Linked DNA regions of Caenorhabditis elegans. The protein of the gene in region 1 interacts with the protein of each later gene in a biochemical or structural test. Each region holds a gene or a part of one and is shown on either strand. Other genes may lie near its edges. The genes, in order: glh-1 and mip-1.

Region 1 (5,467 bases):
TGAAAACATTTTCGCAAAAAATTGTATGTTACAGTACCCCTCTCGCAGTGGGACCCCACCACGTGCTACTGAGAATACACCTTACTACAGTATTACTAAAAATATATTTGAAGAAATTGATAGACAAGCACACAGGAAATGCCACAGCGAAACAGAAACTAAGCATCATCTCTTCCTCTTTTCCCTAATACTCTTCTTCTCAAACTCTATTTCCTGATTGTGATCACTGAGCAAACCGTAAATGGAATGGCAAAGCCAACAGAAAAAATACGGGAGCAAAAAAGCAGGTGAGAGGAAAGCGAAAAAACGAATGTAAATCGACCGGAAATGAGCGAGTGAGAGAAGAGCAAAAAAGAAAATAAATAAAGAATTGAGCCTAAAGTTTCTGTATGCGGAAAAATGCTCGCCGCGGAGAATCGGAAAACAAATTATTGAAGTTGATTAGCTGAGAGAGCAATGTGATATGAGATCATATTGCCTAGTTTGCTTGTTAAAATTCTTTTCATTTAATATGCAACTAATAGTTGAAGTCGTGAACAGCATGATATTGAACAGAGTTTATGCGGCGAGGACTATAACGACAACCAACACCAACAAATACAATTAAAAATCAACAAGGGCAGGATAAAATATGGGGGAACTGACAGCATTAATAAATGCGAAACACTATCAATTGGTCGGTTTTCTACCAGCCTTCTTCATCTTGAGGGACTTGAGTTGGTACACTGGACCCAAATCCACTAGCTCCGTAATTGCCTCCAGCAGCACCTTGCATCCAGTCTGGAACAATCTGTTGTGCGTCGGCGAGAACACCAACAAGTTCGGACAGAAGACTGCAATCCTCCGAGATGAAGCTTGTAGCTCTTCCAGAGTTTCCAACTCTTCCAGTTCTGAAAACAATGCTTGCATTATTGAAACATTAATAAAATATAACTGACCTTCCGATACGATGGATATAGTCATCAATGTTGTCTGGCATGTCATAGTTGATGACATGATCCACTCCTTTGATATCAAGTCCACGTTCAGCGACCGCAGTAGCAATAAGAACAGGTTTCGATCCATTTCGGAATTGTCTCAAAGCTTCTGAACGCTCTCTCTGCTCACGGGCACCATGGATCTGTACATTTTGAATTAAAAAGCGGTCAAAAATGAAATATACCAACCGTGATAGCTGGAACTTGAGCCGATGACAAAATTGAAGCCAGTGTATCAGCCATTGCTCTTTGAGAAACGAAGACCATGGTTTTCTTTGTGTAAACTTCGGCACCTGAAATATTGAAATTTATTTCATCAAATAAGAAAACGAAAAACTCACTTTTCTCGGTCGTGTAACTGTCGATATCGATTCCCAGAAGCTCTAGAAGTTTGTCCTTCTTCTCGCTTCTTTCGCATCTCTCGAATTCCTGTAGGACGCACTTGTTTGCAGCTCCAATCTTGTCGATTGCAATCATCACGTAGTTTTCTCTGAGAAAAGCGCGAGCTGCTTCCTGTACAGAATCGGGGAAAGTGGCACTGAACATGAGTGTCTGGCGATTTTCTTTCCTCGGCATACTGTCATAATTGACAATAGTTTCGATGTCAGTTCCGAATCCCATAGCATCGATCATACGATCAGCCTCGTCAAGAACAAAGAAGCGGCATTTGTCAAGCTTGATGGTACCCTCTTCACAGAAGTGCTTGATTCTTCCGACAGTTCCGACAATGATCGTGGCTCCCTTTTCGATCTGACCCTTATTATAACCGACAGCCAATCCTCCGTAAACTGGTTTGATCTCCATCATTGTTTGATAAGCAAACTTTCTTCCCTCGTTGTAAATTTGATCAGCGAGTTCGCGAGTTGGAGTCAAGATGATGCAACGGGGATAGCAACCGCCTTCTCCGGCAGTGTTCAGATTATTATCGTCAATGAGACGAGTCATGATAGGCAGAAGGAATGCAGCGGTTTTTCCTGATCCAGTTTGAGCACAAGCCATGATATCATATCCCTGATGAACAAGTGGAAGAGCATATTGCTGAATTGGAGTGGTCTTGGAGTATCCAGCATGAGCAACGTTTTTCTGCATGGTCTCCGTGAGATTAGCTTCCGCGAATGTCTTGCAAGGTTTGATACCGACAGTCTTCTCGGATGAAGTCAGTTTAACTTCGGCATCGAAAAACTTGTTGAACATAAGGCCTTCCGAAATTTTCTGCATGTTGAAAACGTCCTCCATGTTGTCTTCGACTGGCACGTATGTCGCCTTAGGTCCTTCTCCTTCAACACCTTCCCTTGGCTTGGCTGGATTGGGGCACTCATTCGAGCGATGACCTTGCTCGCCACAATTGAAACATCCACGGGGTGGCTCCGGACATTCAGCAGAGCGATGTCCCTCGCCTTTACAGTTGAAACATTTCATTGGACCACGTTCTTCGCCTCCACCAAAACCACCGTCCCCACCGAAACCGTCATTTCCTCCATTGTTTCCAAATCCAGCTCCGCCCCCGAATCCACCAGTGCGACCCTCACGCGGCTTGCGTTCTTCTGTACATTCACGAGAGGTGTGCCCGGGTTGCTGGCAATTGTAGCACACTGAAAATAAAACAAATTACTGCCAATAAAGTTATATCAAAATAAAACCTCTCGGCTCTCTTTCCTTTCTCGGCTCTGGACAGTCACTCGATCGATGTCCTGGCTGTTGGCAATTGAAACAATCTGAAACAAACGTAATTATATAAAGTCAATTTAAAAAACGAACTATTGTTTCTCTCTCCGCCGCCATGTCCTCCTTCCCCAAAACCAGAGTTGCCACCTCCAAAGGATCCTCCTCCACTTCCGAATCCAGTTGCACTACCTCCAAAGCCACCTGATCCTCCAAATGCACTTGATTTTTCACCGCTTCCAAATCCAGATGTGGCAGTACTACCACCGAATCCAGAACTGGCTCCTCCATACGGCGATCCTCCTGTACTGCCTCCACCGAAGCCGGATCCACAAGTATTTCCACCTCCAAATCCAGAACCGCCAGTCTTTCCTCCACCGAATCCAGATCCGCCAGTGTTTCCTCCACCGAATCCAGATCCGCCAGTGTTTCCTCCACCGAATCCAGTACCTCCATTTTTACCACCACCAAACCCAGATCCTCCATTGTTACCACCACCGAAACCGCCTCCACTACCGAATCCAGTTTTGGCTGAAATAAAGTTTTTAATCAAAATAAAACCGGTGGAAAGTTCAAAATAAAACTCACCCTTAGCAGCACTTTCGCTATCACTCCAACCATCAGACATTTTCGCAGAAAATTAAGATTTTTCCAGAAAATTGAGTTGAAAACAGCAAAAAGAATTAGGAACTGTCCCAAAATTTAGTAGATGAGTGTGTCGAGGTTACTGTAGTTGGGGCGCGTGGCGAAACCTAAACGGTGTGAAAGTCTGTGTTCCTTTAAAGAATCGACTCTTTAAGAGGCACCACGGTTTCAAGATCTGATGGGATTCCGGATCTACGTTTTCCGGATCTACCATTTCCGGATCTACGTTTTCCGGATCTACGTTTTCCGGATCTACGTTTTCCGGATCTGGCACCGTGCCAACGCACAAAACGCTTTTCAACGCACGACTTTTTTCGAAATTTTCTTCTAGAAGAAACGCTTAACAACACGCGACGCGTAACATCGGAGCGTCGTTGTCACTTTTTTCTTCGAAAAAATAGCGTTTTAAGAGTTTGCACGGTGCCAGATCCGGAAAACGTAGATCCGGAAAACGTAGATCCGGAAATGGTAGATCCGGAAAACGTAGATCCGGACTCCCATCAGATCTTGAAACCGTGGTGTCTCCTTTAAAAAAAAGAATTTTGAGAATGCATTTAATTCATTTTTCTTTTTCAATGAACTCGATCAATTAATTATTTTCATGTTTTCTCGGAAATCCAGACTTTTTTTAAACATGAAATAAATAGTACAATTCTGACAAATATTTTTATAAATGTAAACAAGAAAACAGTAAATAAATAGATTGAGATACAATGTATGAATAAAATAATCAGAAACCACCATCGTCGCCTCCACCTCTTGCCAATGCTTGCGTCGTTTTGTTTCCGATTCCAGCGAGTTTTGGACAATCTGTGATGCGATGACCCAGACCGGAGCAGTATGCGCATCCCTGAAAACATGTTGAACTTCCCGATTTTCTAAATGTTTTCTAACTACCTTTTCCGCATTTGTGCCAGCTGGAGCAGTTCCCTCCTCGTCACCAGCCAACATTTTGAGAAATTCTGGAAGTTCCTGCCCTGCTTCTGCGAGTAATTGTTTCAAGTCGGAAAGCACTGACATCTCCGATTTTTTGTTGATAAATGTCGTTGCGAGACCTTTCCGTCCGGAACGTCCGGTACGACCAATTCGATGAACTGAAAATAAAAATTCAATTATGAAAAATAAATAAGAAATTCACCATAGTTCTCAATATCTTCAGGCATGTCAAAATTGATAACATGTTCAATTCCTTGGAAATCGAGTCCTTTTGATGCAACATCTGTTGCCACAAGTACATCTTTCTCATTTTTTCGGAATGCCTCAATTCCAGCATGACGGTCACTTTGATCTTTTCCTCCGTGAATTGAAGCAACTTCAACTCCTTTTACAAGCAAGTACTCGTAGATATTGTCAACGTCAACTTTCTTTTCGGCAAAAATCAAAACTCTGAAATATAAAACCGTTGCCATATTTCTAAATTAATTATTTTCTGATAAATAAAATCTTACTTGGGAGAAGTCTTTTGAAGGCATTCAAGTACACGAACCAATTTGTTTTCTGATCGAACAAACTCAAGCTCCTGGAGTACGTTCAATGAAGCAGCACCCGCACGTCCAACATTTACGACCTAAAATATTTATAATTTACAGACAAACTCCTGAAAAATTATTCTTTAAGAATTGAAGAATGACAACTTTTGGGAGTAGGTTAAAAAATTATATTTTTGAAACTTCTCGATTGCATAAATAAAACTTACAATAGGTTTGACCAGTGCTGATTTTGCGAAAAATTGAATCTTTCGTGGCATCGTAGCCGAGAAAAGGAGAGTTTGCCGTTGAGCTTTGAAGAAATAGAAAATTGATTTAATTTCATCTTCAAATCCCATATCAAGCATTCGATCAGCTTCATCTAGAACTAAGTAACGGCAAACCTGTAATAAATTGAAGCAATTTTTGAAATCTTTGAAGTTATGTCTTACTTCTAAATTTATAATTTTCTTGGTAAGCATATCAGATAGTCGTCCTGGTGTCGCAACAACAATATGAATACCACTGAAAATAATGAAAATCATAAAATTCGAAATTCTAATCACTCACTCTCTAACGTCTTTAGCTTGTTCGCCAATTGGGACTCCTCCAATACATAATCCAGCTCTCATTTCTGGAAGTCCAGCTTTTCCAAGAGCATCAAACATTTCAATGATCAGGTCAAAGATTTGACGAGCCAATTCTCTCTGAAAAGTA
Region 2 (4,970 bases), on another chromosome or scaffold:
GAACCAGATGAGACGTCGGTTGCGATGACAACTCGGCGTCGGACTCGGGCAACTTCTGAGGTTGTTAGCAAGCAGTCGTCTGAAGATGATGGAAGATCGACACCAAAAACCGGAAGAACTCCCACGAAAAAGGCTGCAGCTAGTACATCTTCTAGTAGAGCTGGAAGTGTAACTGTACGTTGTTTAATCGTTTAATCATACAACTATTCGAACATTTTCAGCGCGGTAAAAAATCGATCATCCAAAAGATGCCATCCCCGCTAGAGGTTACAATGGAAGTTCAAGAAGAAGAAGAAGAAGAAGCGGAGGAGGAACGGCCTGCATCAAGAAGCACTCGCTCTGCATCTGTCAAAAATACAACTGTTGACCCATCGTCATCTGCACTTGCTTCTACCAAACGTACAACTTCTAGAAAGAGGGGCAATTCGGAAACGATCGACTTTAATCAGGACGACAAATCGGCACCGACGACGCCAAAAAGAGGAAGACCCGCCAAAAAGGATGCAGGATCTCCTAAAGTTGGAAGTAAAGCTGTAAGCATTTTTAATTATTTTTTTGAATTAAAAATGTTGTATTCATAAATTGTAAATTGATTTGTTTTCGTTTCAGCGTGGCACCAAGCCTAAATCGATATTCGAAAATCAAGAAGATGAAGAAGATCGTTCATCCTCTCCAGATATCGAACAACCAGCCACACCTACACGGTCTTCCAAACGAACGGCTAGATCCAGAGCAAATTCCGAATCGATCGATGATGATAGCAAGCAGAAGACCCCAAAAAAGAAAAATGCCGCGGTTAATGAAGCTGGTACCAGTAAACAGTCTAGAAGTGTGACGGTATGATCCCAAAACATAATTTTTTTTCAAAATTATTATTTTCAGAGATCTCGAGCATCATCTATTGATGTACAACAAGAGGTGGAAGAGCCAACCACTCCAAAACGCGGAAGAGGAAGACCGCCCAAAACCGTTCTGGAAAATATTGAAGAGGGTGAAGAAGAGAGAAAAGAAACGGCTGCGGTAATATTTTCAGCAATACGATTTCTCAAACGAGGTGTTTTATTTTCAGACTCCTCTACTGCGTTCAGCTCGCCGTGCTAAACAATAGAGGTCGAACACAGCTCAAATTTTAACTATTTGTCCTTATTTATTTTATTATTTGAAATTCTTCAACTGACACATGTGAAATAAGTTCCAATAAAATTGTTTGGCATTAACATTGAATTGGAAATAAAGCAATAAAGGTGCATAGAACGGAGAGTTCAGGATGGCGTTATAGTTTTTAAATTTCAAGCAACAAATTCGATAATTTAATTTTAACTGGAAAATGTGAACGATTGTTCCTAGCATGCGAAACAGGTGTTTATACCACATTTAAAAAATTTCCAAAACGAAGCTCTGCAGAATTTTTTCTAATTTCTCGTGGTAATGATGAATTATTATTTAATTTTGTTTTTTAATGCACCAATAAAACGTTTTTTCGTGTAGAAAAAAGACGGCATTGTTAAATATATTCTTCACTGCAAAAATCCAATTTTATAAAAACTAATTTAAATCTTTCGAAAGGTTACTGTAACAGTCATTTGCGTGTGCATTTCTACGCAATATGTGGCGCCAAAAGGCTTGTCCTAAAATTCGGCTACCCATTCTAAATAAAATGATTCTTCGCAGTTGTTCTCTGTTAACAGCTTGTTTTTTTTATGTTTTGATGATATTTTCATGTTAAAATAATAATTTTAACGTTGTTCATAGACGTTAGCATGTAAGGACGATCTTGACGTATTGTAAACATCTGTAAAATTAGTTATCCGTGCATCAGACTGGGTCTGAGTCTTTTTTACAATTTACTGTAACATTTTTGTATCTTTTTCACGTTAATACTTGATCAAATTGTAAAATGTTCTCTCAGAAGTGACATTCACTTGGCAAATGACGGAAGCTGACGATCCCAAGAAGAAAATACGCGCGCGCATCGAGCGCGACGTGTACAGTGTTCTGCTATCATTCCAGGAAGGAGCGACCCCAAATCAAGTAGAAAGGAGAATGGAGTTTGTGTTTCGCGGCATTATTTCTCAAATTTAATGTATTAACTATTTAGCGACACGCTTGGCTACACATATGTTGGAAAATATGTACAGGCTGGTGTGAGAGATATGGCTCAACTTCTGCGAGAGCACAAAGATGTACGACAAAATTTATCCGGAGTTTTCAGTGTTGTGTGAGAAATATATATTGCTCTTATTCGAGTCAAAACTCAATACATTCGTTTTCAGCGCAAATGAGGACAATCAAGACCTAATCAATCTGATCTCAAAGCAGAAGAAAAAAAAGAAAGGTGGAAAAGGTGCAAAGCCCATTCGTGCAGCTACGTCTATGGGATTCCATAATAAAAGTGGATTCGGATATGCAGCTCACTTGCGCTCACCGAAACCCTCATTTATGTATCCAGCTTCATCTGCCAGAGCGAACCCGGCAAAGGTTCAAATTGAAAAAAAAAAACTATGTTCAAGATTAACATAATAATATTGCAGCCACAAGCAACTGGGTATCGCAATACCGTTCGACACCCACCTGTCCGCCCTTCCACTGCAACTGGTCACTCTAGTTTCGCAAATAGATCAGCTTATTCACATCATACAACGAGAAGCACCACTGTTGGTCCGGTCAAAATTGCTCCTAGTGCGACTGCTCAGCGTCCTCTTTTACGTCAACCTGTAACCGTTGTTCAAAGACTGTCGTCTACAGTGGCTGTTCCAGTTTTGCAACCCGGGATTGACTCGAAGTGTATGCCTTCGATCGTTGATTTTTCGAACAACGTTAAGCGCATGATGCTTCTGGAATATCCTGCTGATGTCCATGTAAATTTTTTTCAACATTTGCAAATTGCAACTGATTTTTCATATTACAGCTCTCTGAATTGACCGAAATCTACGATAAGCATTTCGATGTATCAATTGATCCACTCCAGTTGTTTAGCAAGAGCTGGATGATGTTCGTGAAGACTTCATTCAAAGAATGGCTGCAACTCGGAACAGACGGTCGAGTTGAAGTGAAGGAACCCTGGTTCACAAATTTTGGAGCTGCGTTAAAGAAATCAATGCCACCTGCTCCTGAAAAGAAGAAACCAACGACACTGCATGAGCCCACTTCAAGTGTCGCATCATCGAGCTTACCGATTTCACAAGGATTTCGGTATCAAATACCAGTTGTTCGTCCGATAGTGTCTGTCGCAGAAAGTATGAAAGGTATTTACATTTGAAAATAATTAGTAGATTGTAATATTTTATTTTAGGACTCACAGTGAGTGCCCGTAGCGTAATGGGAACTCCAAAAGATCTTCCTGGTGTGTCTAACCCGATTAAAAACACAGCTCGGGGAAGTAATAAGCCTCGAAATGGTAAATCCAGAAGTTTCCATTAAAAAAAACTAATAATTTTTATTCATCAGATCTGGCATCTTCGAAAGCGAGTAAGGATCTTGTTGTTCCTGTGATGAAAACTACGTGTATCAAATCACTTGAAGATACTTCTACCAGTAGTTCGAATCCTTCAACATTGCAATTATCTACTGCCTCTACCTCTGCAACAGATCAGAAACTGCCAAAAATGAGCTTTGGAAGACAGATAGAAAAAGGATCGTCGATTCCAGGGAGACATATATCTCTTGCTCTCACGGAAATTAAAAACCAAAAAGTTATTGTGAGTAATTTTCTTGCTAGATTCCATTAATTATAATATACCAAGTGCGGTATCGTTCCGTTTTCGGATCAAGACTAGCTTTTTGTTGTTTTATTGCTAAAATACTGCAATTTTTATGTTCATTAAAACAAAAACAATATTTTTAACTATGCTAGAAAATACCATGCCGACTGTGATGAATAAGCTAAATGAATTTCAGGCGGCTTCTATTGTTGGAAAGAGTGCCAAAACTTCTACAAAAGTGCCATCCACGACTAGAAGTGTAGTTCTCCCACCAATGTCAAAAGGACCAGGATTGGCACGTTCTCGTAACTTTTCACCACAACAATCGACTACATCTTCAATTGATAATGAGTGTCTAGAAGCTATCAATGCTGCGTTGCCGTCGGATAAGGATAGTTGGTGATCGAAATTTTACGTGCTTTAAAATATCCTGTTTATGTGTTTTTGTAAAATTATTTTTTAATTAGTTTTAATAGTAACATTGTTTTTTTTATATTTTGGATGCGAGTCATTCACGAATTTTACTATAAATTTTTTTTCCGGTGCATTCTATTCTTGTTTCGCATAATTAAGAAAAATGTGTTCTGAAACATGAAAAAATATTTGTTAGCTTAAATAGCGTGACCCCTTTAGATGCAAAATTGTAGAGTAGCTGTGAGAGCTCTTCCGACGGGCCACTCAAATAATTGAAAGCGAAATGCAGTTTCTCTTTTTCTCTTCCCCAATGCATTCAGTTTCCTATTTCTCTGCCATGTCAAGATTGGCATCAAACGATGTTCGAATATGGGGGAAAACTGGGGCGGTCGGCTTGTGCACACAGACAGACCCATAAAACATGAATTTATTATTCTACGCGCACGCAAAACGTGGCACTATAGAGACTAAGAAACTGCAGGAAATTCGTTTTGAAGATGAGATAACATCAACGAACGGTGTAAAACATAGAGACAAAAAGTGCTCTGGATAACGACGCGCTATATAAGATTGACCCTTAAGGGTAAAAGAATTCTTATCCAAAAATGTTCTCCAATATTGATTTTTAAGAGAATATTATATTTCTATGCTGTCTAGTGAATAGTTTTTCAATTTGGCACATTATTTAGTAAAATATGTTGAAATAATGAAACTATTTATTAAAACAAATTTTTGAAGTCTAAAAAGAGCCTTTTCACTAGCTAAACCAGTAAATACCTCTAGTCACGGCACTATCAGGTTTGTACAATGACTGTATTTCTTTAAATCGATTGTCGTCTGTTCGTGTGTCTGTAT

Evidence for each region.
Region 2: the proteins of glh-1 (region 1) and mip-1 form a complex in vitro, tested with the Caenorhabditis elegans proteins (one study listed by BioGRID).

What each region holds. Positions count from the first base shown.
Region 1 is NC_003279.8:6,852,612-6,858,078, reverse strand, and holds glh-1 (ATP-dependent RNA helicase glh-1), read right to left. Parts: upstream 3,602-5,467; 5' UTR 3,268-3,601; coding exon 3,228-3,267; intron 3,171-3,227; coding exon 2,736-3,170; intron 2,693-2,735; coding exon 2,618-2,692; intron 2,570-2,617; coding exon 1,319-2,569; intron 1,271-1,318; coding exon 1,167-1,270; intron 1,121-1,166; coding exon 939-1,120; intron 891-938; coding exon 686-890; 3' UTR 543-685; downstream 1-542. Other genes in the region: sacy-1 (RNA helicase), read right to left, coding at 4,015-4,134, 4,182-4,378, 4,423-4,670, 4,733-4,851, 4,981-5,154, 5,203-5,275, 5,321-5,457. UniProt on the Caenorhabditis elegans protein: Probable ATP-binding RNA helicase. May act redundantly with the P-granule component glh-4 to regulate the formation of the granular structure of P-granules in embryos. Plays a role in positively regulating the localization of pgl-1 to P-granules.
Region 2 is NC_003281.10:4,791,177-4,796,146, forward strand, and holds mip-1 (HTH OST-type domain-containing protein), read left to right. Parts: upstream 1-1,909; 5' UTR 1,910-1,929; coding exon 1,930-2,048; intron 2,049-2,098; coding exon 2,099-2,218; intron 2,219-2,273; coding exon 2,274-2,478; intron 2,479-2,531; coding exon 2,532-2,858; intron 2,859-2,908; coding exon 2,909-3,245; intron 3,246-3,292; coding exon 3,293-3,397; intron 3,398-3,447; coding exon 3,448-3,698; intron 3,699-3,897; coding exon 3,898-4,104; 3' UTR 4,105-4,247; downstream 4,248-4,970. Other genes in the region: Protein mel-28, read left to right, coding at 1-174, 222-533, 610-837, 883-1,020, 1,070-1,108.